4 linked regions of the Anolis sagrei genome follow. The protein of the gene in region 2 interacts with the protein of the main gene of each other region in a biochemical or structural test. Links are inferred from orthologs where the notes say so. Each region holds a gene or a part of one and is shown on either strand. Other genes may lie near its edges.

Region 1 (7,828 bases), on a different chromosome or scaffold from region 2:
CCAGATGAGAGACTCCCCCCTGGGCACACAGAAGACTGGGCGACTTGGAAGGCGCTGAACAGACTGTGCTCTGGCACCACGAGATGCAGAGCCAATCTTAAGAAATGGGGCTACAAAGTGGAATCCACGACATGCGAGTGAGGAGAAGAGCAAACCACTGACCACCTGCTGCAATGCACCCTGAGCCCTGCCACATGCACAATGGAGGACCTTCTTGCGGCAACACCAGAAGCACTCCAAGTGGCCAGATACTGGTCAAAGGACATTTAATCAACTACCAAGTTTGCAAAATTTGTGCTTTCTTCTCTGTTTGTTTGTTTTGTTCTGTTAGAAATGTAATACAAAGGTATGGTTGCTGATGACACGATAAATAAATAAAATAAATAGCTTCTGAACAATCTTCAAAGGCAGACCCACGTAAAGCGCGTTGCAGTAGTCTATTTGGAATGTAACCAAACCATGGATTACCACGGCCAAGTCCGACTTCCCAAGGTATGGGCACAACTGGCTCTACCTGATGTGGAGGCCTGTACGGGGCCTGCAGTCCGACCCGGCAGAACCTAAGAACACAGCGTGCGCACGCCCCGAAATCCAGCAGCTTCTGAGCCACAGGCCTGTCCTTTTCTGTCAATGCAATCATCACGGTCAAAGTCTGTTCGAAAAGGGGAAAAATGCTTTTTAGTTTCATTGCCAAAGCTTGAAGGAAATGAATCTGTGGATCACATGAGTCAGAAGAGATACACATACACAATGCCACCCAGTCCAACAAAATTATTCTGCCAGGCAGGAAGACACCACCAAAGCCCTCCCAACAGATGGCCTCCCAGAGGAGGAGACTCCAGCATACTTTGAGGCAGCAGCCTATTCCACTGCTGAACTGCTCCTGATGTTTAGCTGGAATATCTTTCCCTTCAATTTGGATGCCTTACTTCAAAGTAAATGAAGGGATCAGTCTCCAGCTCATCCACCTGCTTCACTTACAAAAAATGACTATGGGGGACCTTTTGAGCTAATGCACACCAGGTCCGTCCTGAGAACATTCCCTTCCGCCCTCACTTCCGGTAAGAAGGGGCAACAAGACCCTGCTTCCTAGAAGCAACACTTCAGGCTAACAGAAACCAAGGGATGCGGTCACTATGAGCTTCAACCCACATTTCCGGTTCCCATTTGCAGCACACAAGCCAGGACCAGCTGGTCCTTTTTATTCTGAGAAAAAAAATAATGTCTTCTCTCCTTACATAATGAAAGCTTTATATGCAAGTCCCCAATTATTATTATTATTGACACAAAATATTATTACAAAACCCACAAGTACAAAAACCCACAAGAACCTAATATTATTATTATTATTGGACAATTTCAACAGAAAGGAAGAAACCATGAAAATGAACAAAATCTGGCTACCAGTATTAAAAAACTCAAAAATTACAACAGCAAAACAATAGAGAGTAAACAATCAGGCACATCAAATCACCTCTCAAAGAAAGATTCCCCCAGGCACTTCCAAGCCATTAAATGCTAATCAAGGTGGTCAGTTGAAACATTCACACCTAGCTCCAGCAGACAAGAGTCCTTTGTCCCACCCTGGTCTTTCCACAGATAAATAAACCCATTTTCCTACTTCCAACAGACCTCACTACCTCTGAGGATGCTTGCCATAGATGCAGGCGAAATGTCAGGAGAAAATGCCTCTAGAACATGGCCATATAGCCCGGAAAACCTACAACAACCCATTATTATTATTATTATTATTATTATTATTATTATTTTACTGAAACAAGCACAGTACGTCACAGCAAACGAGATATATATGCTGGATTTCGTATCACAAAATCACAAGTCGAATTATTATTATTATTATTATTATTATTATTATTATTATTATTTGAAACACGACAAGATGAGTCCACAGCAAACAGGATCACCATGCTGGCTTTTGTATTGGATCACACATTGGACACTTCCCAAATGTTTAGGACTGTGTGATGTATCGGTGAATAATGCATGCAGATCCCAGGCCTTCTGCAGCTGGCAGATGGTAATTTTGTCAGTGCTGATTGTGTTTAAGTGCAGGCCAAGGTCTTTAGGCACTGCACCCAGTGTGCCAATCACCACTGGGACCACCTTTACTAGTTTGTGCCAGAGTCTTTGCAGTTCGATCTTTAAATCCTCATATCGTGTCAGCTTTCCCTGCTGTCGCCTGGGATTGCAACATCGACAATCCATACTTGGATTTTTAACACGGGCATGAGGTCAGGAGTAATGTGTTTCAAAACTCTGTCAATCTGAATTTGGAAGTCCCAGAGTAGTTTGATGTGTTCATTTTCTGTAACTTTTTCAGGCCTGTGGTCCCACCAGTTCTTTGTCACAGGCAGATGGTCTTTGTGGCACAAGTTCAAGTGGATCATCTGAGCAATGGTGTTATGCCTCTGCTTGTAGTCCATCTGCATGATCTTGCAGCAGCTGAGGATAGAATCATAGAATCAAAGAGTTGGAAGAGACCTCATGGGCCATCCAGTCCAACCCCTTGCCAAGAAACAGGAATATTGCATTCAAATCACCCCTGACAAATGGCCATCCAGCCTCTGCTTAAAAACTTCCAAAGAAGGAGCCTCCACCACACTCCGGGGCAGAGAGTTCCACTGCTGAACGGCTCTCACAGTCAGGAAGTTCTTCCTAATGTTCAGATGGAATCTCCTCTCTTGTAGTTTGAAGCCATTGTTCCGCGTCCTAGTCTCCAAGGAAGCAGAAAACAAGCTTGCTCCCTCCTCCCTGTGGCTTCCTCTCACATATTTACACATGGCTATCATATCTCTTCTCAGCCTTCTCTTCCTCAGGCTAAACATGTCCAGCTCCTTAAGCCGCTCCTCATAGGGCTTGTTCTCCAGACCCTTGATCATTTTAGTCGCCCTCCTCTGGACACATTCCAGCTTGTCAATATCTCTCTTGAATTGTGGTGCCCAGAATTGGACACAATATTCCAGATGTGGTCTAACCAAAGCAGAATAGAGGGGTAGCATTACTTCCTTAGATCTAGACACTATGCTCCTATTGATGCAGGCCAAAATCCCATTGGCTTTTTTTGCCGCCACATCACATTGTTGGCTCATGTTTAACTTGTTGTCCACAAGGACTCCAAGATCTTTTTCACACGTTCTGCCCTCGAGCCAGGCGTCACCCATTCTGTATCTTTGCATTTCATTTTTTCTGCCAAAGTGGAGTATCTTGCATTTGTCACTGTTGAACTTCATTTTGTTAGTTTTGGCCCATATCTCTAATCTGTCAAGATCGTTTTGAATTCTGCTCCTGTCCTCTGGACTATTGGCTCTCCCTCCCAATTTGGTGTCGTCTGCAAACTTGATGATCATGCCTTCTAGCCCTTCATCTAAGTCATTAATAAAGATGTTGAACAGGACCGGGCCCAGGACGGAACCCTGCGGCACTCCGCTCGTCACTTCTTTCCAAGATGAAGAGGAAGCATTAGTGAGCACTCTCTGTGTTCGTCCACTTAACCAATTACAGATCCACCTCACCGTAGTTTTGCCTAGCCCACATTGGACTAGTTTCCTTGCCAGAAGGTCATGGGGGACCTTGTCGAAGGCCTTACTGAAATCCAGGTACGCTACATCCACGGCATTCCCCGCATCTACCCAGCTTGTAGTTCTATCGAAGAAAGAGATCAGATTAGTCTGGCATGACTTGTTTTTGATAAATCCATGTTGACTATTAGCGATGACTGCATTTGTTTCTAAGTGTTTGCAGACCGCTTCCTTAACAATCTTTTCCAGAATCTTGCCCGGTATCGACGTGAGGCTGACCGGACGGTAGTTGTTTGGGTCATCCTTTTTTCCCTTCTTGAAGATTGGGACCACATTGGCCCTCCTCCAATCTGCTGGAACTTCTCCCGTTCTCCAAGAACTCTCAGATGGACTACAATGGCTTCAAACGATAAGAGAGGAGATTCCATCTGAACATGAGGAAGAACTTCCTGACTGTGAGAGCCGTTCAGCAGTGGAACTCTCTGCCCCGGAGTGTGGTGGAGGCTCCTTCTTTGGAAGCTTTTAAACAGAGGCTGGATGGCCATCTGTCAGGGGTGATTTGAATGTAATATTCCTGCTTCTTGGCAGAATGGGGTTGGACTGGATGGCCCAGGAGGTCTCTTCCAACTCTTTGATTCTATGATTCTATGAAGTAATAGTTTCATGAGGCACTATCCCTATGGGCAGAGAACACCCTTGCAAAACTACAGCTCCCAGGAGTTGTATGGAGCCGGGGCACTTCAAATGAACGTCATTCATTCATTCTGCAGTGTAGAGTGCAATTGGGAACCGGAAGCCATGTGTGATTATGTATTTGGAGTTTTGTTTATCTCTTTGGTCCAAGGCAGACCTGAGCAGCTGCAGACAGAGGCGTCCGATCGACAGACGTGCAAGACGAGCCAGCGCTGGTTTAAAAGGGGTGGGCGGGGCGATGGATCGATCTCTCGACGCTCTGCTCGGCAGGCAGGCGGCGTTGCTCTGCGGCTGCGCGGAGAAGAAGCAAGATGGCGGGCAGCCCTCCTCCTCCGCTGAAGCCCTGGGAGAACCCGCGCAGAATGTAGGTAGAATGGGATATGGCCTATAAACGCATATATCTCATATAATATTGTGTGTAAATAGAATTATATTTACATATAATACATTAATATTATATATAACACATATCTAATATTATCTGTAAATATAATTATGTATATAATATATAAATATAATATATATATTATATGTCATATAAAATACATATATCTATTATATTTACATATAATGTATTAATATTATATATAACACATATATCTAATATATGTAAATAGAATTATGTATATAATATGTAAATATAATATATATAACATATTCTTATGTCATATAAAATACATATATCTAATATAATATATATATAATCACAGTTTTATATAGACATATATATAATTTTGTGAATTATGTATATAATATATAAATATAATATGTATAACATATATTCTATATCATATAAAATACATATATCTAATATAATATATGTAATCAGTTTTATATATACATATAATATATAATTTTGTGTATCATATATGTGTGTGTTTATATATATATACTGTTTACTATAATGTGAATTTCTCTATAATTCTCTATATAATTATAATATAATATATATGTCTTATAAATAATGTTATACATCTCGTCACGATAAGCTTAATCCTAATTACATATAATGTATTTATTACACATGTATGCAATATAAACACATATATCTAATACAATTATATTTACAGATAATATATTAATATTATATATAACACATATATCTAATAATATATGTAAATATAATTATGTATATAATATATAAATATATATATAACATATTCTATGTCATATAAAACACATGTATCTAATATAATATCTGTAAATAGAATTATATTTATATATAATAAATATTATATATAACAGATATATCTAATATTATCTGTAAATAGAATTATGTATATAATATATAAATATAATATAGATAACATATATTCTGTGTCACATAAAATACATATATCTAATATATGTAATCACAATTTTATATATACATATAATATATAATTTTGTGTATCATAGATTGTGTATTTATGTATATATATGCTGTTTACTATAATGTGAATTTCTCTATATGTCTTATAATATATATAATGCTATAGATCTCATCATGGTAAGATTAGTCCTAACTATATATAATATAATGTAAGTATTACACATGTATGCAATATAAAACACATATATCTAATATAATATTGTATATACTGTAAAACATCGATCAATATAGAATCATAGAGTTGGAAGAGACCTCATGGGCCATCCAGTCCAACCCCCATTCTGCCAAGAAGCAGGAATATTGCATTCAAATCACCCCTGACAGATGGCCATCCAGCCTCTGTTTAAAAGCTTCCAAGGAAGGAGCCTCCACCACACTCCGGGGCAGAGAGTTACACTGCTGAACAGCTCAGTCCTTTTATATATATAATAAGATTTCCCCTGACATTGAGTCTAGTCGTGTCCAACTCTGGGGTGTGGTGCTCATCTCCATTTCTAAGCCAAAGAGCCAGCGTTGTCCGTAGACATCTCCTAGGTCATGTGGCCGGCATGACTGCATGGAGCGGCATTACCTTCCCACCGAAGCAGTACTTATTGATCTATTCACATTTACATGTTTTCAAACTGCTAGGTTGACAGAAGCAGAGGCTAATAGCAGGAGCTCACCCCACTCCCTGGATTCAAACAGTCAACTTTTCGGTCAGGAAGTTCAATGGCTCAGCAGTTTAACCCGCCGCACCGCCGGGGGCTCATATATATATATATATATAATCATGATAATCTTATATGTAATGTAAAACATATATATCTAAAATAATATATATATATAATATAACACATAAATAGAATAAACATAATATATGTCATATCTAAATATGACATATATGTAATATTCCATATATATTTATAATACTATACACATAATCATGCTAATCATGAGATCTCGTGAGCCATCTAGTCCAACCCCTTGCCAAGAAGCAGGAAAACTGCATTCAAAGCATTTTGTTTTTATAGTATTACATAAACATTATATACTTAATACTATACATATAATAATGATAATCTTAGTCCTACTTACATATATGTATATTATACATATATTATATCTAATATAAAATACATATAATATACAATATATAACATGTAATATAACACATAAATATATAAGCATAATATATATAATACTATTTATACAATAATGGTAGAAGTGCCCAGTCGTGCAATGAGTTAAACTCCTTGTGCTGGCAGGACTGCCGACCAACAGGCTGGCGATTCGAATCCGGGGAACGGGATGAGTTCTCGTCTCAGCTCTAGTTCCCCATGCGGGGACATGAGAGAAGGCTCCCATAGGATGGTCAAAACATCAAAACATCTGCGTATCCCCTGGGCAGCATTCTTGCAGACAGCCAATTGTCTCACACCAGAAGCAACTTGCAGTTTCTCAAGTCAGTCCTGACATGTGTGTGTGTGTGTGTGTATACAAAATCATAATAATCATAATAGCATTACATATATATTCTATGTAATATAAACACATATATCTAATATATGTAATATCTTCCGGCAAACCTACCCAGCCAATCTTTAAGCATGAATTTTAAATGTGTGTCCTTTGTTTAATCCCTGTTTTGTGTATTTTAACATGTATTTTATAGAAATACATTTTAATATGTGTATTTGTAGTATTTTTACAATATTTATGTGTTTTAATTATTCTGTAACCTGCCTCGAGCCACAAGCACAGACAGGTAAGAATTATAATTAAAATGCATTCCCAGACAACACTGATATATATTCTAGTGCGATGTATTTGTAATAATCTCCCACAGGTATCAATGGCGGGCACTGTTTCCCCCTATAGTTTTCAACCGTCCACAGCGCCATAAATTCGTGTTACTCCTGTTGTCTCAAATTTTGCACCAGGGGATACATCCTTGCCCTCCGGTTGTACTAGTTTTCCTCAGAGAAAGCAAGATGTTGCTTGCCTTCATTGGCTAATCCTCCTGCTCCCTCTTTCCCCATCCAAGTAGGTGTGGTGGGCAGGAGCTCCAGGGTGGTAAACATGTTGCTCCCTCTTTATGTTCTCCAGATAATTAAAATTGCATAACCTACTTGCATACACAGCACAGCCTTGGCATCGGTTTGCGCAGGAGGAGGAGGAATTCAGTAGGACTTAAATGTCTCCATAGTTCTCAAAACATCTGAATGTAAAAGTCCTTTGTGGT
Region 2 (7,620 bases):
AAGCAGAGGCTGGATGGCCATCTGTCGGGAGGGCTTTGATGGTATAGCAGAATAGGGTTGGACTGGATGCCCTTTGGGGTCCCTTCCATCTCTAGGATTCAATAATATTAATAGTGGTGGTAATGGAGTCTCTTTACATGGAGATGTTCAAGCAGAGGCTGGATGGCCATCTGTCGGGAGGGCTTTGGTGGTGTTTTGCTGCCAGGCAGAAGGGGTTGGACTGGATGGCCTTTAGGGGAGACTCTTCCTATGAGATGGCAATTAGGACTCACTCGGACTGAGAAGGAAGGGCTCTCTCTGCAGACACTCCTGGGTTTATCCCCTCGCAGGCGCCATCCACTTGGGTATGGCGCCGCCGCCTTGGCAACCGGGGACTCGCCAAGCAAGGGGCGGGGCTTCCAGGCTGCAATTGGGCGGATCGGCCACTTGGGGGCGGCAAAGGACAGTCAATGGGAGACTCCCTGCACTCTCTCGCTTCCTTCCATTAAGGAATGAATGGACTGCCATCATCATCATCATTGTTATTGTTATTGTTGTTTGATACACAACAAGATTAGTACACAGCAAGTAAGATCACTCTGCTGGCTTTTGTATTGGACTAGATGATGTATGGGCGAATAATGCGCTCTTTAAACTGGATTGTATGACTCCACATTTCCAGATAATCTGGGATAAACAGAAATAATATAATATATTATTATAATGTATTGTATTATATTGCTCTATTATATTATGAGTTTACAATATAGACACTGTTGTTGTTCATTCGTTCAGTCGTCTCCGACTCTTCGTGACCTCATGGACCAGCCCACGCCAGAGCTCCCTGTCGGCCGTTACCACCCCCAGCTCCCTCAAGGTCAGTCCAGTCACTTCAAGGATGCCATCCATCCATCTTGCCCTTGGTTGGCCCCTCTTCCTTTTGCCTTCCACTTTCCCCAGCATCATTGTCTTCTCTAGGCTTTCCCGTCTCCTCATGATGTGGCCAAAGTACTTCAACTTTGTCTCTAGTATCTTTCCCTCCAGTGAGCAGTCGGGCTTTATTTCCTGGAGGATGGACTGGTTGGATCTTCTCGCAGTCCAAGGCACTCTCAGCACTTTCCTCCAGCACCACAGCTCAAAAGCATCGATATTCCTTCGCTCAGCCTTCCCGAAGGTCCAGCTCTCACATCCGTAGGTTACTACAGGGAATACCATGGCTTTGACTAGGCAGATCTTTGTTGCCAGTCTGATGTCTCTACTCTTCACTATTTTATCGAGACTGGACATTGCTCTCCTCCCAAGAAGTAAGCGTCTTCTGATTTCCTGGCCACAGTCTGCATCTGCAGTAATCTTTGCACCTAGAAATATAAAGTCTGTCACGGCCTCCACGGTTTCTCCCTCTATTTTCCAGTTGTCAATCATTCTTGTTGCCATAATCTTGGTTTTTTTTACGTTTAGCTGCAACCCGGCTTTTGCGCTTTCTTCTTTCACCTTGATTAGAAGGCTCCTCAGCTCCTCCTCGCTTTCGGCCATCAGAGTGGTGTCATCTGCATATCTGAGGTTGTTAATGTTTCTTCCAGCAATTTTCACCCCAGCTTTGCATTCATCCAGCCCCGCACATCCTCTCATGATGTGTTCTGCATACAAGCTAAAAAGGTTGGGTGAGAGGATGCAGCCTTGCCGGACGCCTTTCCCAATCTTGAACCAGTCTGTTGTTCCGTGGTCAGTTCTGACTGTGGCTCCTTGGTCCTTGTACAGATTCCTCAGGAGAGAGGGAAGGGGGCTTGGGATGCCCATCCCACCCAGAACTTGCCACAATTTATTATGATCCACACAGTCAAAGGCTTTAGAATAGTCAATGAAGCACATTATATTATATATTTATTATTTTATATATAATACAGTTCCATTATTTATTGTTATTTTATATATTCTTTATTATTATTTTATATATTAAATAAATAATATATTAGTATTTTGTTTGATATTACCTACACTATTACATTTATTTATTTATTTATTTATTTATTTAGAAATTTTCTATACCGGCCTTCTCACCTCGACGAAGGACTCAGGTCGGTTTACAGCATATATAAAATACAATCATATAAAGAACAACAAGTGCAAAATCATTACATATTAAAATAGTAAAGACAGTAATCAGTACAGTATATTATATAATATACTGTACTGATTACACTATAATATATATAATAGAGTAATTGTTGTTGTTCATTCGTTCAGTCATTTCCGACTCTTCGTGACCTCATGGGCCAGCCCACGCCAGAGCTCCCTGTCGGCCGCCCCCACCCCCAGCTCCTTCAAGGTCAGTCCAGTCACTTCAAGGATGCCATCCATCCATCTTGCCCTTGGTCGGCCCCTCTTCCTTTTGCCTTCCACTGTCCCCAGCATCATTGTCTTCTCTAGGCTTTCCCGTCTCCTCATGATGTGGCCAAAGTACTTCAACTTTGTCGCTATTAATTATTATATAATATACAATAATATATATTAAATTATTATATTACTCTATTATATTATGAGTCTACAGTATAGACTCTACATTATATTATATATTTATTATTTTATATATAATAGAGTAATACAATATATTATTTATATTATATTTTATATTACTCTATATGAGTCTACAGCATTATCTAAACTATTATATATTGATTACATTAATATAATATAATACAATATAATACAATAATAATATATACTGTATTATATATAATAGAGTAATATAACATAATATATATAATGTAATTCTTTATTTAATATATATTATTAGACACATATAATATAATAGGGTGATATATCCTATATATATCCTCTTCGCTGAGCCTGGAACCCCAGGTCTCGGCGGTGGTCAGGGGAGCTTTTGCACAACTAAAACTTGTGCGCCAGCAGTGCCCGTACCTTGGGAAGGCTGACTTGGCCACAGTAGTCCACGCTTTGGTTACATCCCGTTTAGACTACTGCAACGCTCTCTACGTGGGGTTGCCTCTGAAGACTGCCCGGAAGCTGCAGCAAGTCCAGCGCTTGGCAGCCAGACTACTAACGGGTGTTGGGTACAGGGAGCACACCACTCCGCTGTTACACCAGCTCCACTGGCTGCCAATTCGCTTCCGAGCACAATTCAAAGTGCTGGTGTTAACCTATAAAGCCCTAAATGACTCCGGCCCGGTTTACCTCTCCGAACGTATTCTCCCCTATGAACCATCAAGATTACTAAGATCGTCTGGAGGGGCCCTGCTCTCGGTCCCACCAGCCTCACAGGCGCAGCTGGTGGGGATGAGGGACAGGGCCTTCTCGGTGGTGGCCCCGCGGCTCTGGAAATCTCTCCCGCCAGAGGTTAGAACCGCCCCAACAATCCTGACATTCAGGAAACAGGTGAAGTCGTGGTTATGGAGACAGGCTTTTGAAGAATGAGACAATGATCTGGATGGAAGACGGTCTATATTCAATTTTAGTACGACGACTGACCACGGTAGTTTTAAATATATGTGCCTTTTAATGTTTTATTGTAATGTGTATTTTGATATTTTACCGATTGTATGTGTTTTTATGGTTGGAAACCGGGCTGAGTCCCTCTTATGAGGTGAGAAGCTCGGTATATAAAACTTTGAAATAAATAATAAATAAATATATTATAATATATTATATAATATATATTATATTATATTGCTGTATTATTTGAGTCTACAGTAATAATATAAAATCATATATTTTATATATTATATTATGATCTTGTATATAATATAATGTAATCAATATATATAATCATGCAGTGTCTATACTATAGACTCACATACTATAATAGAGTAATATAAAATAATATGCAATAATAATATATAATATAAACTAATATATTATATATATAATAGTTTATAATATATTATAAACTATATAATATATTATATATATTATTTTATATATTATAATATATTAGTTTATATATATTATAAACTAATATATTATTATATATAAAATAATAGATATATGTAATAGAGTCTAAATTGCAGACTCCTATAATGTAATAGAGTAATATAATATAATATAATATAATAATATCCAAATTATGTCACAAGATTTCCAAAGTGCAAGGCTTGTCAATGGTTGACAAGGCTTGTCAGTGAGGGGCAAGATGGCGGCGACTCGAGAACTACGACTCCCAGAATGCCTCAGCGGTCGCGTCCAAGGCACGCCGCCGCCCTGGGCTGCTGGGAGTCGTAGTCCAGAGGCGCTTCCTTGGGCCTAGGCGAGCCCGGTGGCCTTCGGAGGCTTCTGCCGACCGAGTGAGTGGCCTTGCTTCCTCCTTTCCTTCCTCTGTTTCCCGGCTTCCCGGAAATGGCGACGTCGACGGACCCAGAGCTGGAGGAGTTGCTTGAAAGTAAGTAAGGCGGGAATGCCCCAGTTGGGGCTTTGGAGGGGAGTTTGGAACAGGAGCCTTAGGAGACCAGACTCCCAGGCGGAGAGTTCCACTGCTGAACAGCTCTTCTTACAGTCAGGAAGTTCTTCCTAATCATAGAGTTGGAAGAGACCACCGAGGCTATCTAGTCCAACCCCCTGCCAGGCAGGAAAAGGACAATCAAAGCCCTCCTGACAGATGGCCATCCAGCCTCTGTTTAAAGGCCTCCAACGAAGGAGCTTATACCAGACTCTGAGGCAGAGAGTTCCGCTGTTAAACAGTTCTCCTTACAGTCAAGAAGGTCTTCCTAATCATAGAATAATAGATTTGAAGAGAGCACCTAGGCCATCTAGTTCCCCTGACAGATGGCCATCCAACCTCTGTTTGAAAGCTTCCACCAGACTTCGAAGCAGAGAATTCCACTGCTGAACAGCTCTTCTTACAGTCTGGAGGTTCTTACTAATCATAGAGTTAGAAGAGACCACCGAGGCCATCTAGTCCAGCCCCTTGACATGCAGGAAAAGCTCAATAACACCCTACCCCCCTGACAGATGGCCAGCCTCTGTTTAAAAGCTTACGCCACACTCCAAGGCAGGGAGTTCCACTGCTGAACAGTCAGGAAGTTCTTCCCAGAATCATAGAGTTGGAATAGGTCACCTAGGCCATCTAGTCCAGCCCCCTGCCTGGCAGGAAAAGCACAATCAAAACCCTCCTGACAGATGGCCATCCAGCCTCCTTTTAAAGGCCTACAATGAAGGAGCGTATACCAGACTCTGAGGCAGAGAGTTCCACTGTTAAACAGTTCATCTTACAGTCAAGAAGGTCTTCCTAATCATAGAATAATAGAGTTGGAAGAGACCCCATGGACCGTCTAGTTCAATCCTCTGCCATACAGGAAAAGCACAATCAAAGCCCTCCTGACAGATGGTCACCCAGCCTCTGTTTGAAGTCCTCCAACGAAGGAGCTTATACCAGACTCTGAGGCAGAGTTCCACTGTTAAACAGCTCTTCTTAGAGTCAGGGAATTATTCCTAATCATAGAATAATAGAGTTGGAAGAGAACTCATGGGGCATCTAGTCCAATCCCCTGCCATACAGAAAAAGCACAATCAAAGCCCTCCTGACAGATGGCCATCCAGTGTCTGTTTAAAGGCCTCCAAGGAAGGAGCTTCCACCAGACTCAGAGGCAGAGAGTTCCACTATTAAACAGCTCTTACAGACAGGAAGTTCTTGGAGAACAATATTCAGTATGCACTTTTTTTCCGCTCCTCCCCGATGCAGGTGCCCTTGATGACTTTGATAAGACCAAGCCCACTGCTGTGCCTCCCTCCTCCGCTGCCACCGTTGGGGACAACAGCAGCAGCAGCGCTGAGAAATCACCGGGAGATGCTGCAAAAGTATGGAAAGTTAGATAAACTTTCAGTGCTGAGTTGGGGGGACATTGTGGTAGCAAAGAGAGCTTGGGAAAGTGTTTTCTTCTGGAATGAATCCCTCATTCAGCAAGAGAGTAGAATTCAGGAAAATGTAATTGGGATCTCTGATGGGAGGGTCATGAGGGGGTGTCACAGGGGTTGCCAAAGACCATCAGAAAACATATATTTATTTTATTTTTATTTTCATTTTATTTATTCAAGTAAGGGGGGTCACAAGGGGGTTTCAGAGGGGTCGCCAAAGACGGTCAAAAAACATATATTTTTGATGGTCATAGGAACCCCTTTGGCAGAGAAGGTTGAAGATCTCCCCGCCTGTCCTTCTCTTCCTTTGGCAAATCCACCAAAAGCCCTCCTCCACTGCAATTGGCTGACCTCTCACTCGAGGGCTGTTTCTGAGGCTCCAAGCAGGAAGGGGAGAGCAGACATGCTCATCGCATGGCAGCGTAGTGCGGATGTACAGGCGAGGGAGAGCGTACGAGGCTGGAGCAAGGTTCTCTCCAGCAAGTCCCTTCAAGGCATGGGGGTTCTGTGTGGGAAGTTTGGCCAAATTCTATCGTTAGTAGGGTTCAAAATGCTCTTTGATTGTAGGCGAACTATAAATCCCAGCAATGACAACTCCCAAATGTCAAGGTCTAATTTTCCCAAACTCCACCAGTGTTCACATTTGGTCATGCCAAGTTTGGGCCAGATCCATCATTGTTTGAGTCCAAAGTGCTCTCTGGACGAAGGTGAACAACAAATCCAAAACTCAAGGCCAATGTCCACCAAACTATTCCAGTATTTCCTATTGGTCATGGGAGTTCTGTATTCCAGGATTGGTTCAATTCCATCACTTGTGGAATTCAGAATGCTCTTGGATTGTAGGTGAACTATAAATCCCAGCAACTACAACTCCCAAATATCAAGGTTTATTTTCCTCATACCCCAGCAGTGTTCACATTTGGGCATATTGAATATTCATGCCAAGTTCGGTCCAGATCCATCATTGTTTGAGTCCACAGTGCTCTCTGGAAGTAGGTGAACTACAACTCCAAAACTCAATGTCAGTGCCCACCAAACCCTTCCAATATTTTGTGATAGTTCTGTGTGCCAAGTTTGGCTCAATTCATCGCTGGTGGAGTTCAGAATGCTCTTTGATTGTAGGTGAGCAATAAACCCAGCGACTACAACTCCCAAATGTCAACGTCTAATTTTTCCCATCACATTTGGACATATTGAATATTTGTGCCAAGTTTGGTCCAGACGATTCCTAACAGGAGCAAAACTACAGTTATGAAATAGCAGTGCAAATAATGTTATGGTTGGGGGTCATCACAACATGCGGACCTGTATTAAGGGGTCGCAGCATTAGAAAGGTTGAGAAACACTGTAATAGAATCATTTAACTGAGCTGGCTTCTTCCTCCTTCTTCTCTTCTCAGGATTCCCTCTTTGCCTCCCAGGAGAAGTTCTTCCAGGACCTCTTTGACAGTGAGCTTGCTTCTCAGGCCACCGCCGAATTTGAGAAGGCCATGAAGGAGTTGGCTGAGGAGGAGCCCCACTTGGTCGAACAGTTCCAGAAGCTCTCGGAGGCAGCGGGCCGAGTCGGTGAGTCGCTGACCGAGGGTGGGAAGCCTATGTTTTGAAATTTTTGGTTGCTGATGCAAAGCTTTGTTTGTGAGAGGCCAATCTCTGCCATTCAGGGAGCATTCCTGACCTATCCTTGGTTTCATAAAACATCTCTCTGTATGGAATTGGAATTGGAGTTTTCCGGGCTGTCTGGCCATGTCCCATTCTCTCCTGACATTTCACCCAC
Region 3 (7,839 bases), on a different chromosome or scaffold from region 2:
CATTCTGAACCCCATCAACAATACCATTGGGCCAAACCTCCCACACAGAACCCGCATGACCACCAGAGTGGGCCACAGCAACGCGTGGCAGGGGACGGCTACTAAATAATAAAAACAGTCTCGCCAGTCGTATTGTCATTCTAGTCCATGTCCTCCAAAACTCTACATACATCTACTGTCTGAAGGCCTGGTCCCAAAACCATGATTTTAATTTCTTTCTAAAAGCCAGGAGGGAGGGAGCAGATCTTACCTCATTTGGGAGTGTGTTCCATAGGTGAGGGGCCACTGCCGAGAAGGCCCTGTCTCTCATCCCCGTCAGACAAGATGCACTTGTGTGGGCATTCAATTTAGGAGTCCCTCAGGAAACAGATGAGTTTATAGTCTACTGGATGACAGACCTATCTGCTGATGCTTGGTACTGTCCTTCGCCATGCAAATTTACTAAAGCTGGAGGCAATGGAGTTGTGTACTCTGGAATATGCATTTGAGTGTATTGTGTGCCTGTTTGAACCCTGGGCCACTGGTATTGGAGGCACAACAGCAATAAAAAGAATTAAGTTCTCTCCAGAAATCATACTGAAGAACCAAATTAACTTTGAAAAAAACTTAGGAGTGGATTATTATATGGAAGAGATACGAGATCTATTATGTTCTAGTCCTCAAAACACATTCTTAGGAGCATAATCCTTGAAATCTAAATGTATGTCTTCCGTGCTAGTTGAAACATTCACACCTAGCTCAAACAGACAAGAGTTCTTTGTCCCACCCTGGTCATTCCACAGATATATAAACCCTTTTTCCTAGTTCCAACAGACCTCACTACCTCTGAGGATGCTTGCCATAGATGCAAGCGAAACGTCCGGAGAGAATGCCTCTAGAACAGGGGTCCTCAAACTAAGGCCCGGGGGCCAAATGCAGCCCTCCAAGGTCATTTACCCGGCCCTTGCTGAGGATCAACCTAAGTCTGAAACTGTCAGATTTTACTATGTATTGTAATGTAATATAGCTGAGTCATGCACTGCTAATGGGATTCTATTGGAAATGCTGAGTCATGCATTAACTGTATATAGGGAATCATTTGGGGAATGTGTTCTGGCCTAGTCCAGGTGATTGTGAATGATGTAATCCTGGGTCTGAGTTAAGTTAATGAGTTGGGAATCAATCAGAGATTGCTATGTATGTATTGTATAGAATTGTATATAAGGAAGTCATGTACAGTGTATATTTCTCCTTGTGCTGTGATGTTGTTCATCGAAGGAAGGCTATATGTAATTAAAAGAACCTGTCTGCTAAGACAAGATATAACTGTGTGCTCTGGTAAGTTTGTAATGACACCTAGACTGGGGGAAAGACAATGTTAAAACTGACAATGGCTGGGCATGTGCTCAAGTGTCTGTAAAAGCTTCCAGAGTGACTGCAGGCTGTGGGAGTAGTTAACTGAAAATACTGTGCAGGAAGAAGCTACTGGAAAGTGCTGAAGTTGTGCAACTGATCTGCTGCTGAATTGTGAAGTTAATCACAACTTGAAAGTACATAACAACAATCCTATCTCATCAGCCAAAAGCAGGCCCACATTTCCCATTGAAATACTAATAAGTTTATATTTGTTAACATTGTTCCTCATTTTAATTATTGTATAGTTTTAAGTGTTTTTTTTACACTACAAATAAGATATGTGCAGCATGCATAGGAATTCATGTTTTTTCTTCTTCAAATTATAATCCGGCTGCTGAGTACGCATGCCCAGTGTGGAACACATCTCACCACACTAAAACAGTGGATGTGGTTCTTAATGAGACATGCCGCATTATCACAGGGTGTCTGTGCCCTACACCACTGGAGAAATTACACTGCTTGGCCGGTATTGCACCACCTGACATCCACCGGGAAGTAGCAGCCAATAGCGAAAGGACCAAGGCAGAGACATCTCCAGCTCATCCCTTATTTGGGTATCAGCCAGCACGTCAATGACTTAAATCAAGAAATAGTTTTCTTAGATCTACAGAGACACTCGCTGGAACACCTCAGCAAGCGAGAGTCCAAAAGTGGCAAGCCCAAACCCAGCACCTCAATCCGTGGGTGATACCAGATGAGAGACTCCCCCCTGGGTACGCAGAAGACTGGGCGACTTGGAAGGCGCTGAACAGACTGCGCTCTGGCACCACGAGATGCAGAGCCAACCTTCAGAAATGGGGCTACAAAGTGGAATCCACGACATGCGAGTGTGGAGAAGAGCAAACCACTGACCACCTGCTGCAATGCAACCTGAGCCCTGCCACATGCACAATGGAGGACCTTCTTGCGGCAATACCAGAGGCACTCCAAGTGACCAGATACTGGTCAAAGGACATTTAATCAACTACCAAGTTTGCAAAATCTCTGTTTTTTTATCTGTTTGTTTGTTTTGTTCTGTTAAAAATGTAATACAATGGTATGGTTGCTGATGACACAATAAGTAAATAAATCCGGCTCTCCAACAGTTTGAGGGACTGTGACCTGGCCCTCTGTTTAAAAAGTTTGTGGACCCCCTGCTCTAGAACAGTGGTTCTCAACCTTCCTAATGCTGCGACCCCTTAATACAGTCCCTCATGTTGTGTGACCCCCAACCACAACATTACTTTCGTTGCTACTTCATAACAGTCATTTTACTACTGTTATGAATCATAATGTAAATATCTGATACGCAGGATGCATTTTCATTCACTGGACCAAACTGGGCACAAATACCCAATACACCCAAATGTGAATGCTAGTGGGGTTGGGCAAGGATTGATTTTGTAATTTGGGAGTTGTAGTTGCTGGGATTTATAGTTCACTTATAATCAAAGAGCATTCTGAACTCCACCAGCGATGGATTTGAACTTGGCTCCCATGACCAATGGAAAACACTGGAACGGTTTGATGGGCATTGACCTTGAGTTTGGGAGCTGTAGTTCACCTACATCCAGAGAGCACTGTGGACTCATGCAATGGTGGATCTGGACCAAACTTGGCACAAATACTCAATATGCCCAAATGTGAATATTATTATTATTATTATTAATTATTAACTTTATTTGTACCCCGCTAGCATCTCCCGAAGGATACTGGTGGAGTCTGGGGAAAATAGATCTTGGCATTTGGGAGTTGTAGTTGCTGGGATTTATAGTTCATTACAATCAAAGAACATTCTGAACTCCACCACCGATAGAATTAGCTCAAACTTCCCACATGGAATCCCCATGACCTACAGAAAATACTGTGTTTTCTGATGGTCTTTGGCAACCCCTCTGACACCCCCTCATGACCCCTTCAGGGGTCCCGACCCCCAGGTTGAGAAACACTGCATTAGACAATAGCAATAAACATTAGACAATAACACCACGACCCATTTAAAAACTAAAGCCGGGCCAAATGTAATGATTAAAAATTTTAAAATGCTGGACATGACAGGTGAAATAGGTAGGTTTCTGGAGATAGATGCAGTGTGCAGACAATCTTAAATCTCTAGTAAAGTGCATTTGGGACATAATGCTTGGAGTTTCCTATTCTGGGAAGGCACACTGGAACAACCACGTCTTCAAGCTCTTCCTAAAGACTGCCAATGTTGGGGCTTGTCTGATGTCTTTGGGGAGAGAGTTCCAGAGTCCAGGGGCCACCACGGAGAAGGCCCTGTCCCTCGTCCCCACCAGTCACGCTTGTGACGCAGGATGGATCGTGAGCAGGGCCTCTCCAGAAGATCGGAGAGATCGTGTGGGTTCATATACGGAGATGCGGTCACGTAGGTAGGCGGGTCCCAAACCGTTTAGGGCTTTGTAGGTAAGCACCTGCACCTTGAATTGGGACCGGAAAATGAAGGGCAGCCAGTGGGGCTCCTTGAACAGGTATGTGCAGAGCGCATAGGAATTCATGTTTTTTTTTTCCTAATTATAATCCAACCGTCTAACAATAGGTTCTTGTGGGTTTTTTTGGGCTATAGAGCCATGTTCTAGAGGCATTTCTCCTGACGGTTCGCCTACATCTATGGCAAGCATCCTCAGAGGTAGTGAGGTCTGTTGGAATTAGGACAATGGGTTTATATATCTGTGGAATGGCTGGGGTGGGGCAAAGAGCTCTTCCCTGCTGGAGCTAGGTGTGAATGTTTCAACTGATCACCTTCATTAGCATTTGAAGGCCTGCCTGAGCCTGGGAAAATCTCTTGCTGGGAGGTGTTAAGATGTGCCTGGTTGTTTCCTCTCTGTTGTTTTGCTGTTGTAATTTTAGAGTTTTTTAATACTGGTAGCCAGATTTTGTTCACTTTCATGGTCTCTTCCTTTCTGTTGAAATTGTCCACATGCTTGTGGATTTCAATGGCTTCTCTGTGTAGTCTGACATGGTGGTTGTTGGAGTGGTCCAGCATTTCTGTGTTTTAAAATAATATGCTGTGTCCAACCGTCTAACAGTTTGAGGGACTGTGACCTGGCCCTCTGTTTAAAAAGTTTGTGGACCCCCTGCTCTAGCACATGGCCATATAGCCTGAAAAAATCTACAACAACCCAGCAATAGCGAGGTCAGGAGCAGGTGCACGCGCCCACAAGCTGCGCGCGCAGCCCCGGCACGAGCCAGCTGGACTCTAGCAGCAGCAGCAGCATCCATTCCAATCGCGCAGGTTTGCCTTGGAGAAGAGGGTTTAGCAACGGCGGCGTCGCGAGGCGAAGGTTCCCCCAAGGGCCCGACGCAGCCAATGAGCGGGCGGGAGGGGCGGGGCTTGAGAAGATAGAGAGCGAGCGAGGGAGAGAAAGCGGGCGAGCGCGAGGTAGATTATTGTGGCGGCGCGCGGGGCATGGCGCGAGGTGGCGATGGCGGCGGCAGAGCGGGAGCGGGGCTGAGGGAGAAGCGGTGTGGATGAGGGTGAGGGAAGCCACCATGAGCGCGGCGCGGGAGGCCCCCGCCAGGCAGACATGGAGCCGGTCCAGCGCGGCGCTGAGGCGGGCTGCTTGCTTGGCGGCGGCGGCGTACGGGCTGAGGCTGCTTTGGCGCCTCAGGAAGAGGAGAAGAGCGGCGCCGCTTCCTCAGCATCCTCTCCCGGCGCAGGAGGAAGACGCGGGCGGTGCTTTCCTCCTCCCTGAGGCGTCGTCGCTCTTGCTGCGGCCTTCCTCTTCCACCTCGCCGCCGCTCCCTCGCGGCTCCCCGGCGGCCAACGCGGAGTTCTTCCGCCAGCTGCTGGAGCTGCGCCAGATCCTGTTCCCGCAGCTGCTGGGCCGGGAGAGCGGCTGGCTGGGCCTGCACTCGGTGGCCCTGGTCTCGCGCACCTTCCTCTCCATCTACGTGGCCGGCCTGGACGGCAAGATCGTCAAGAGCATCGTGGAGAAGAAGCCCCGCCGCTTCGCCTGGCAGCTGCTCAAGTGGCTGGCCATCGCCGTCCCCGCCACCTTCGTCAACAGCGCCATCCGCTACCTGGAGGGACAGCTGGCCCTGGCCTTCCGCACCCGCCTCGTCGCCCACGCCTACCGCACCTACTTCGCCGACCAGACCTACTACAAGGTCATCAACATGGACGGGAGGCTGGCCAACCCGGACCAGTCCCTCACCGAAGACATCGCTATGTTCTCCCAGTCAGTGGCCCACCTCTACTCCAACCTCACCAAGCCCATCCTGGACGTGGTGCTCACTTCCTACACTCTCATCCAGACTGCCCGCTCCCGAGGGGCCAGCCCCGTGGGGCCCACCCTCCTGGCCGGGCTGGTCGTCTACGCCACCGCCAAGGTCCTCAAGGCCTGCTCGCCCCGCTTCGGGAAGCTGGTCGCCGAGGAGGCCCAGCGCAAGGGCTACCTGCGCTACGTCCACTCCCGCATCATCGCCAACGTGGAAGAGATCGCCTTCTACCGTGGCCACAAGGTAAGGGAGAGGTCAGGACGGGCCCAGAGGTCTTTGTCAGGGTATAGTAATGGTAAAGGTAGTCCCCTGACATTAAGTCCAGTCATGTCTGATTCTGGGGTGTGGTGCTCATCTCCATTTCTAAGCTGAAGAGCCAGCGTTGTCCGTAGACACCTCCAAGGTCATGTGGCCGGCATGACTGCATGGAGCGCTGTTACCTTCCCGCCGGAGCAGTACCTATTGATCTACTCACATTTGCATGTTTTCGAACTGCTAGGTTGGCAGAAGCTAGGGCTGACAGCGGAAACTCACGCTGCTCCCCGGAATCGAACCTGCGACCTTTCGATCAACAAGCTCAGCAGCCCAGTGCTTTAACCCACTGCGCCACTGGGGGCTCCTTTGTCAGGGTATAGGTTTCCCTTATTGTCAGGGTATAGGTTTCCCTTATTTATTTATTTATTTATTTATTTGGGGTGCTTCTACCCCGCCCTTCTCAACCCCCTAGGGGGGACTCAGGGCGGCTTACAAAAGGCACAATTAGATGCCTAACAATTACAACATACAATGCAATATACAATACACAAATTTACCACATAATATCATAGTTATAACTAATTAAAACAATCAGACAGTATACTAGCAGCAATAAAAACATCTTGTGGTCAGTGTTCACCAAATCCAAGTCCGTAAACCATTTAGCATTGTCATTGTCCTTTCCTACTCTGGTCATTCTTGGTTGTCTTTGTCCATCTGCCAGCTTACCTGAAGGCCTGGTCCCACATCCAGGTTTTTAGCTTCTTCCTGAAGGAGAGGAGGGATGTTGATGTCCTAATTTCCCCGGGGAGTGCATTCCACAGGCAAGGGGCCACCACCGAGAAGGCCCTGTCCCTCGTCCCCACCAGTCTCGCTTGTGATAAAGGTGGGGCCGAGAGCAGGGCCCCCTCAGCAGATTTTAAATTCCGAGGTGGGACGTAGAAGGAGATACGTTCGGACAGGTACGCTGGGCCGGAACCGTAAAGGGTTTTGTAGGTCAAAACCAGCACTTTGAATTGTGCTCGGAACTGGATCGGCAGCCAATGGAGCTGACATAACAGGGGGGTGGTATGCTCCCTGTATGACGCTCCAGTGAGTAATCTGGCTGCCGCCCGTTGGACTAATTGAAGTTTCCGAACAGTCTTCAAAGGCAACCCCACGTAGAGCGCATTGCAGTAATCTATTCGGGATGTAACAAGAGCGTAGACCACCGTGGCCAGATCCAGCTTCCCAAGGTACGGGCGCAGCTGGTGCACAAGTTTTAATTGTGTAAAAGCTCTCCTGGACACCACTGAGACATGGGGTTCGAGGCTCAGCGATGAGTCCAGGATCACTCCCAACCTGCGAACCTGCATCTTCAGGGGAAGTGTAACTCCATCTAACACAGGCTTTAACCCTATGCCCTGTTCGGCCTTACGACTGACCAGTAGGACCTCTGTCTTGTCTGGATTCAATTTCAATTTGTTAGCTCTCATCCACCCTTGACATTTATTTATTTATTTATTTAGAACTTTTATAACCCGGTCTTCTCAACCTCCGCAGAGGGACTCAGGCCGGTTCACAACAAAAGATTCATAAACAATAGTTTAACATATCACATCACATAATGCACTAATACATTAAAATACAATCATATAATTACATAAGGCCAGTCATCAGAAATCACAATTCATCACCATCTGTCCATGTGGTCAAGAGTTATTGAATGCTAAATTCCAGAGCCAAGTTTTCACTAGCTTTCTAAAACTTAGCAGAGAAGGGGCAGTTCTAATCTCCAGTGGGAGAGAGTTCCAGAGCCGAGTTCCAGGGCCACCACTGAGAAGGCCCTGTCCCTCGTCCCCACCAGACGTGATTGCGAGGGTCGTGCGACCGAGAGCAGGGCCCCTCCAGAAGATCTTAATAACCTTGATGGTTCATAGGGGAGAATCCGTTCTGACAGGTAAATTGGGCCGGAGCCGTTTAGGGCTTTAT
Region 4 (8,532 bases), on a different chromosome or scaffold from region 2:
TCTTAATTAAAAAAATTGATTTTGTTATTTGGGAGTTGTAGTTGCTCGGATTCATAGTTCGCCTACAATCAAAGAACATTCTGAACCCCACCAACGATGGAATTGAACCAAACTTGGCACACAGTTCTCCCATGACCAACAGAAAATACTGGAAGGGTTTTGTGGGCAGTGTCCTTTGGTTTTGGAGTTGTAGTTCACCTACATCCAGAGATCACTGTGGACCCAAACAATGATGGATCTGGACCAAACTCTACAAGAATACTCAATATGCCCAAATGTGAACACTGATGGAGTTTGGGGAAAATAGGATCTTCACATTTGGGAGTTGTAGTTCCTGGGTTTTATAGCTCACCTACAATCAAAGAACATTCTGAACCCCACCAACGATGGAATTGAACCAAACTTGGCACACAGTTCTCCCATGACCAACAGAAAATACTGGAAGGGTTTGGTGGGCAGTGTCCTTTGGTTTTGGAGTTGTAGTTCACCTACATCCAGAGAGCACTGTGGACTCAAACAATGATGGTTCTGGACCAAACTCTACAATAATACTCAATATGCCCAAATGTGAACACTGGTGGAGTTTGGGGAAAATTGAATCTTCACATTTGGGAGTTGTAGTTCCTGGGGTTTATAGCTCACCTACAATCACAGAGCATTCTGAACTCCACCAACGATAGGAATTGGGCCAAACCTTCCACACAGAACCCCCATGTGGGCCACAGCAACGCGTGGCAGGGGACGGCTAGTAGAATCATAGAATTGGAAGAGACCACAAAGATCATCCAGTCCAACCCACTGCTTTGCAGAAATACACAGCCAAAGCCAACGGAGAGCTTTTCAGGAAGGAGAAGGAGATTCCACCACCCTCTAAGGCAGTATATTTCACTACCAAACGACTCTTGTCATCAGGAACTTCTTCCTAAATTTCAGCTGGAATTTCCTTTCCTGCAATCTGAATCCATTGCTCTACTGTGTCCTAGTCTTCAAAACAGCATAAGAGATTGTGACATCTTTTATGTAACAAGACTCATAGACCCCATCTTGATCCTGACCTTTGCTTATGTAAGCGTGCAGTGTAGTGATAAGTTTCCTCACATCCAAGTATAACTGTGTTCTCAGATATACCCATGGAGTCCGGGAGTGCCCTTTGCCTCACAGATAAAGAATGTTAGGGCATTGCATTGGAAAAATGCAGGCTGAAATTTCTTCTGGCTTACCACAGAGGAACAATATGTCTCTTTCACCTTCACTCCAAATTAACTAATACAAAGATGGTTGAAATATATTAACCCCCTCGATATTTTTTGTGATCATCAACCCCTCCGTATTTTAGATGCGGATGAGTTGTCCCTCCTAAAATCCCCCAGAAACATCAATCCATATTTTCAGTAGGTGGAAGGGTTCCAGTGACACATTCTCCTTTTGTGTAAAACTGGAAATCATAGAGTTAAAAGAGATCTCATGGGCCATCCAATCGAACCCCATTCTGCCATGCAGGAATAGCACAATCAAAGCACTCCCGTCAGATGACCATCCAGGCTCTGTTTAAAAGCTTCCAAGAAAGGAGCTTCCATCACACTCCAAGGCAGAGAGTTCCACTGCTGAACAGCTCTTACAGTCAGGAAAGTTCAGGTGGAATCTCCTTTCTTGTAATTTGAACCAATTGCTCAGAGTCCTAGTCTCTCAGGCAGCAGAAAATAAGCCTGGTCCCTCTTGCTTATTTCCTATTCTTTCCAGGACCTTTTCTTTTATTTCTTGCAGTGTTTGAGATCTCCAGATGAGCAAGAAACTGTGGCTGACACTTGAAGGAGAGAGTTAGCTTCTGGATGGTGCTGCTGTTTTTGAGAACTGTGTCTGAAGGATGACAACCTTTAGCCTCTTCCGATTGAGAAAGCACCTTTTGGGGCTAAGCCAGACAAGATGCAGGACAGAGTCTAAGTCTAATCTCTGTGGTTCTAGCTGTGACCTTTGCACAACCATTTCTGCTGCTCATGGTCCTTCTTGAACTACCTCTTTTCTTTCTTGCATATGGCCAGTTTCAGCGGAAGGGAGCCACAAAGTCAGGGAAACCACAAAGTTCCCTCCTGTCACATAAAATACATCTCCTATGTATTTTTAGATATTTTTAGATTACAACACCCACATCACAACTGGCTATCCCTGATGCAGAACATAGAATCCAAAGGGCCACAGTTCAGCTCTGCCCGGGATTATGACCTTTGAGTCTGTATAATGCAGCTATCTTCTTAAAGCACCCCATAAACTGCAATAGCTTTCTCTAGAGGAACAGCACAGAGGAACTTTTGGCACCGACCATTTGCAATGTCCAACATTGCATAATGGTTTTCGTGATATATATACACACACACACACACACTAGCCGAACGTATTCTCCCCTATGAACAATCAAGAGTGCTAAGATCGTCTGGAGAGGCCCTGCTCTCGGTCCCGCCTCCTTCGCAGGCATGTTTGGTGGAGACAAGAGACAGGGCCTTTTCTGTGGTGGCCCCTTGGCTATGGAATTCCCTCCAAAATGAAATTATATCTGCCCTCTTCCTTTTGATTATTGTATTGTTTTAAAGTGTTTTTGCACTACAAATAAGATATGTGCAGTGTTCATAGGAATTCATGTTTTTTTTTTTCAAATTATAATTTGGCCCTCCAACCGTTTGAGGGACTGTGACCTGGCCGACTGTTCAAAAAGTTTGAGGACCCCTGATTTAAATCTTGGTTCTTTTTCTTCCACACATACATACATTTCATACATCAGGAACATACATTCGTTGACAACTCTGTTCTTGACCAGCGACCTCATCACACTAGAGAATGAATCCACTTTAATTCCGGTTTCTGCCTCCTGCAGAATTCTGTGGTTTGTAGTTTAGGGGGAGCCTTTAACAGCCTCCCTATACTACAAACCCCAGAATTCTGCAGGAGGCAGAAACCGGAATTAAAGTGTTTGTAGTGTGATGAAGTTATAGATGACAAGGAACACCCAAATATTGCTGACAAGCAAGCCCTTTTCCCACTCCCAACATTTTGATATTAGGAACTAAAACCACTCCTTTCATGTTAAAATTAGAGCTTGGAATGGATGGATAGAATCCTAGAGTTGGAAGAGACCTCATGGACCAAGAAGCAGGAATATTGCATTCAAACCACCCCTGACAGAGGGCCATCCAGCCTCTGTTTAAAAGCTTCCAAAGAAGGAGCCTCTACCACACTCTGGGGCAGAGAGTTCCACTGCTGAACAGCTCTCACAGTCAGGAAGTTCCTCCTCATGTTCAGATGGAATCTCCTTTCTTGTAGTTTGAAGCCATTGTTCCGCATCCTAGTCTCCAGGGCAGCAGAAAACAAGCTTGCTCCCTCCTCCCTGTGACTTCCTCTCACATATTTATACATGGCTATCATATCTCCTCTCAGCCTTCTCTTCTTCAGGCTAAACATGCCCAGCTCTTTAAGCCGCTCCTCATAGGGCTTGTTCTCCAGACCCTTGATCATTTTAGTCGCCCTCCTCTGGACTCATTCCAGCTTGTCAATATCTTTCTTCAATTGTGGTGCCCAGAATTGGACACAATATTCCAGGTGTGGTCTAACCAAAGCGGAATAGAGGGGTGGCATGACTTCCCTAGATCTAGACCAGTGGTTCTCAACCTTCCTAATGCCGTGACCCCTTAATATAGTCCCTCATGTTATGGTGACTCCCAACCATAACATTGTTTTTGTTGCTACTTCATAACAGTCATTTTCCTACTGTTATAAATTATAATATAAATATCAGATATGCAAGATGTATTTTCATTCACTGGACCAAACTGGGCACAAATACCCAATGCACCCACATGTAAATGCTAGTGGGGTTGGGGGAGGATTGATTTTGTAATTTGGGAGTTGTAGTTGCTGGGATTTATAGTTCACCTATAATCAAAGAGCATTCTGAACTCCACCAGCGATGATTTTGAACCTAATTTGCTGCACAGAACTGCCATGACCAACGGAAAACACTGGAAGGGTTTGGTGGGCATTGACCTTGAGTTTGGGAGTTGTAGTTCACCTATATTCAGCGAGCACTGTGGACTCACGCAATGGTGGATCTGGACCAAATTTGGCACATATACTCAATATGCGCAAATGTGAACACTGGTGGAGTCTGGGGAAAATAGACCTTGACTTTTGGAAGTTGTAGTTGCTGGGATTTATAGTTCACCTATAATCAAAGAGCATTCTGAACTCCACCAGCGATTATTTTTAACCTAATTTGCCGCACAGAACTGCCATGACCAATGGAAAACACTGGAAGGGTTTGGTGGGCATTGACCTTGAGTTTGGGAGTTGTAGTTCACCTATATTCAGCGAGCACTGTGGACTCACGCAGTGGTGGATCTGGACCAAACTTGGCACATATACTCAATATGCGCAAATGTGAACACTGGTGGAGTCTGGGGAAAATAGACCTTGACTTTTGGGAATTGTAGTTGCTGGGATTTATAGTTCACTACAATCAAATAACAATCTGAACTCCACCAACGATAGAATTGGCTCAAACCTCCCACATGGAATCCCCATGACCATCAGAAAATATTGTGTTTTCTGATGGTCTTTGGTGACCCCTCCAACACCCCTTCGCGACCCCCTCAGGGGTCCTAACCCCCAGGTTGAGAAACACTGATCTAGACACTATTCTCCTGTTGATGCAGGCCAAAATCCCATTGGATGCACCAGATCAATCCAAACCAACAAAACAGTGGAGATTATCTAGCTTTACTGCAAACTCCTGAGCATACTGACTAGCTGGGACTATGTCCCATTTAATCCTAAGGGATATAACATTAGGGTTGGGCTCAAAAAGATGATCCCAGGCTGGAGCACAGAGAAAAAGCCTCTCTCTGTACAACCTTGGTTTGTGCAGAGATCTCTACGCTGCGCCATCTAGTGGCTGCTTGGAGAAACGACCAGGCCTCTGTTGTTTTTTTTCTCCTTCCTGCTACGTCTTGTCTAGGCGTGGCCTCAGGGTTTGTCTATGATCTAGAGGAGGGTGGCTCTTTCCCTGTCCCCTCCCAGAGTGTCAGTTGGAGGGTGGGTCATTATGGGATGAGAGCGGAGCCTGGCTGAGAAGCCAGTGTTGCCACAGCCAGGCAGAGAGCACTAGGCTGAGCTGGAGGAGGAGGCAGAGGAAGAGGTGGAGGAGGAGGAGGAGGGGAGAGGGGGCCAGCAGCAAGGGGCCTTGGGCCCACCTTGGTGGCAACATGCCCCTAGCCACTGCCAAGGTGGCATCACGGCTGACCCAAGGGGTGACGGCAAAGAGAGCGGCCGTGGCACTGCTGGTGGCCGCATATGGTGCCAAGAAGTTGTATCCCATCCTCAGGAGACAGTGGGCCACCGCTGAGCTCCGGCCAAACTCAAACAGCAGGCCCAGTGCCAATGGGCCACCAACCAAGTGGGAAATGCCGGGTGAGGCAGCTGCGGCATCGCCACCCGGGGTCAACAGGGTCTTCTTCCTGCGCCTTCTGCGTCTCCTGCGCCTGCTGTTTCCAGGGCCACTGTGCCGGCAGACAGGGCTCCTGGCCTTGCACTCGGCCGCTCTCGCCAGCCGTACCTTCCTCTCAGTCTACGTGGCCCAACTAGATGGGCGACTGGCCCGCTGCATCGTCCGCAAGAACCCCAACGACTTTGCCTGGCAGCTCTTGCAGTGGCTGCTCATTGCCCTCCCGGCCACCTTCGTCAACAGCGCCATCCGGTACCTGGAGGGGCAGCTGAGTCTGGCTTTCCGTGGGCGCTTGGTGGACCATGCCTATAAGCTGTACTTCCAAGGCCAGACCTACTACCGGGTCAGCAACATGGACGGGCGCCTGCGCAACCCAGACCAGTCTCTCACCGAAGATCTGGTGGCCTTCGCCAATTCGGTGGCCCACCTCTACTCCAACGTGACCAAGCCGGTCCTCGACCTCATCGTGACGTCCTACACCTTGGTCAGTTCGGCCAGATCCAAGGGGGCCGACACTGTTTGGCCTTCGGTCATTGCCGGGCTGGTGGTGGGCATCACGGCCAAGGTGCTGCGCGCCTGTTCACCAAAGTTTGGGCAACTGGTGGCTGAGGAGGCTCGCCGGAAAGGGGAGCTGCGCTACATGCATTCCCGGGTGGTCGCCAACTCTGAAGAGATTGCCTTCTATGGGGGGCACAAGGTAATGTTGTGGGGAACTTGGCGAGAAAATCCAAGTTACCCTCATAAATGACAGGCTAGTGGTAGACCTAAAGAGGGAATTGAACTATGGAAAATTTCAGAAAAGGTGGTGGGTGTTTCTGTTTTTTCCTGTAGTTGCCGTTTTCCCTTTCCTATAGAAGTGAGCCATGATACAAAGGCAGGCAACTTCTTAAATTCCTGCTCAGGCTGAAAGGAAATTGGCTCTGCAAAAGAGACAACCTGCCGGTGCCGTTGTTTACTTCTCTTCTTTTGTATGCTTTTTCATTGACTTTGACCCAGGCAAGGCTGAGGCCCTGACCTGATTTTATCTCGTTCGGGAAGTGTCCCTATTCAGTCAACTCCAGCTTTGGGATTGGTAGCTTTCCGTTTTCCTCTAGAAACCCTGTTTGGTTTCAGTTGCTCCCGCTTGATTCCTGCTCGAGCAGTCAAAACAGCCCTGAGGCCTTCCACGTTTGGCACCAAGGTGGCACTTAAAATAGTTTTGCATTCCCAGAGAGCAGAGTAGATTGAAGAGTAGCAACTGTGAGTGTATCGGGATGCCTACGTTCTTTCCGTCACTGGTTCTGAAGGACAAAGGAACAAGGTTTTGTTATATCAGAGAGTGTCCTCCTGTTGACAGGCAGATAAAATTTTTACTTTCCTTCCCTCTCTTGCAAATACAGCTGCATCGGGGCACTTTCAAGGCCGGAGGCTCTCCTACGTCGGGCAAGCTGCCAGAATAATAAGCAATTTTAGGTCACGCTCAAGAAGTACATAACACTTCCCTCCCTCCACTTCTCACTTCCTTTCTCTCCCACTCTTTCTCTAATGTTTATTAGTCTTTTGTTCTCTGCTTCATCTTAGAAGCAAGACTGTGGAGGAAATGAAGAAACACTCATACCCAGATCCTTTGTACCAAAAGGCTTGTGTGCAACAGTTGTTCTTCGAAAAAGGGCTAGTTAGACAATGCATCCCATGACCAGCTATTACTCATCAGAGTATTTGTTGTCCAGCAACAGGTTGCATGGTGTTGTTAACCCTGACATTCACAGCACATCCAAATGCGCAGAATTTTTCTAGGCAGGATTTTGGTGCATTCACAATATCCTCCCATACCTAAGAGGCCCAGCTTCGACACAGCTGCATAACGTCCACACTGAACTGGGTTATATGGCAGTGTGGATTTGGAAAACCCAATTCAAAGCAGATATTGTGGATTATTCTCCTTGATATTCTGGGTTATACGACTGTGTGGAAAGGCCCTGAATCGTAGAGTTGGAAGAGACCTCATGGGCCATCCAGTCCAACCCCCTGCCGGAATATTGCATTCAAAGCACTCCTGACAGATGGCCATCCAGCCTCTGTTTAAAAGCTTCCAAAGAAGGAGCCTCCACCACACTCCGGGGCAGAGAGTTCCACTGCTATTTTTATTTATTTATTTATCGTGTCAGGGCAACCAGTCGATTATATTACATTTTTAACATAACAAAGCAAACAAACAGACAAAATACAAAACTTGTTAGTTTCGTAGTTGATGAAATGTCCCTTGACCAGTATCTGGCCACTTGGAGTGCTTCTGGTGTGGCTGCAAGAAGGTCCTCCATTGTGCATGTGGCAGGGCTCAGGTTGCACTGCAGCATGTGGTCAGTGGTTTGCTCCTCTCCACACTCGCATGTTGAGGATTCCACTTTGTAGCCCCATTTCTGAAGGTTGGCTCTGCATCTCGTGGTGCCAGAGCGCAGTCTGTTCAGCGCCTTCCAAGTCACCCAGTCCTCTGTGTGCCCAGGGGGGAGTCTCTCATTTGATAACAGCCATTGGTTGAGGTTCTGGGTTTGAGCCTGCCACTTTTGGACTCTCGCTTGCTGAGGTGTTCCAGCGAGTGTCTCTATAGATATTAGAAAACTATTTCTAGATTTAAGTCGTTGGCATGCTGGCTGATGCCCAAACAAGGGATGAGCTGGAGATGTCTCTGCCTTGGTCCTTTCACTATTGGCTGCTACTTCCCGGCGGATGTCAGGTGGTGCAATACCGGCTAAGCAGTGTAATTTCTCCAGTGGTGTAGGGCGCAGGCACCCCGTGATAATGCGGCATGTCTCATTAAGAGCCACATCCACTGTTTTAGTGTGGTGAGATGTGTTCCACACTGGGCATGCATACTCAGCAGCAGAGTAGCACAGTGCAAGGGCAGATGTCTTCACTGTATCTGGTTGTGATCCCCAGGTTGTGCCAGCTTTCGTATGATAGTTCCACTGCTGAACAGCTCTCACAGTCAGGAAGTTCTTCCTAATGTTCAGATGGAATCGCCTTTCTTGTAGTTTGAAGCCATTGGTCCGCATCCTAGTCTCCAG

Evidence for each region.
Region 1: the proteins of PEX19 (region 2) and PEX13 form a complex in vitro, tested with the Homo sapiens proteins (2 studies listed by BioGRID and IntAct, with this or other methods). The link is inferred for Anolis sagrei from reciprocal best matches to the Homo sapiens genes PEX19 and PEX13.
Region 3: the proteins of PEX19 (region 2) and ABCD2 form a complex in vitro, tested with the Homo sapiens proteins (3 studies listed by BioGRID and IntAct, with this or other methods). The link is inferred for Anolis sagrei from reciprocal best matches to the Homo sapiens genes PEX19 and ABCD2.
Region 4: the proteins of PEX19 (region 2) and ABCD1 form a complex in vitro, tested with the Homo sapiens proteins (3 studies listed by BioGRID and IntAct, with this or other methods). The link is inferred for Anolis sagrei from reciprocal best matches to the Homo sapiens genes PEX19 and ABCD1.

Annotation. Positions count from the first base shown.
Region 1 is NC_090021.1:12,577,696-12,585,523, reverse strand, and holds the start of PEX13 (peroxisome biogenesis factor 13), read left to right. Parts: upstream 1-4,495; 5' UTR 4,496-4,543; coding exon 4,544-4,596; intron 4,597-7,828. Other genes in the region: tRNA pseudouridine synthase Pus10, read right to left, coding at 515-640. UniProt on the Homo sapiens protein: Component of the PEX13-PEX14 docking complex, a translocon channel that specifically mediates the import of peroxisomal cargo proteins bound to PEX5 receptor.
Region 2 is NC_090032.1:7,362,119-7,369,738, forward strand, and holds the start of PEX19 (peroxisomal biogenesis factor 19), read left to right. Parts: upstream 1-4,204; 5' UTR 4,205-4,332; coding exon 4,333-4,375; intron 4,376-5,674; coding exon 5,675-5,790; intron 5,791-7,246; coding exon 7,247-7,412; intron 7,413-7,620. UniProt on the Homo sapiens protein: Necessary for early peroxisomal biogenesis. Acts both as a cytosolic chaperone and as an import receptor for peroxisomal membrane proteins (PMPs).
Region 3 is NC_090025.1:81,653,752-81,661,590, reverse strand, and holds the start of ABCD2 (ATP-binding cassette sub-family D member 2), read left to right. Parts: upstream 1-4,581; 5' UTR 4,582-4,863; coding exon 4,864-5,856; intron 5,857-7,839.
Region 4 is NC_090022.1:177,914,818-177,923,349, forward strand, and holds the start of ABCD1 (ATP-binding cassette sub-family D member 1), read left to right. Parts: upstream 1-5,035; 5' UTR 5,036-5,249; coding exon 5,250-6,185; intron 6,186-8,532. UniProt on the Homo sapiens protein: ATP-dependent transporter of the ATP-binding cassette (ABC) family involved in the transport of very long chain fatty acid (VLCFA)-CoA from the cytosol to the peroxisome lumen.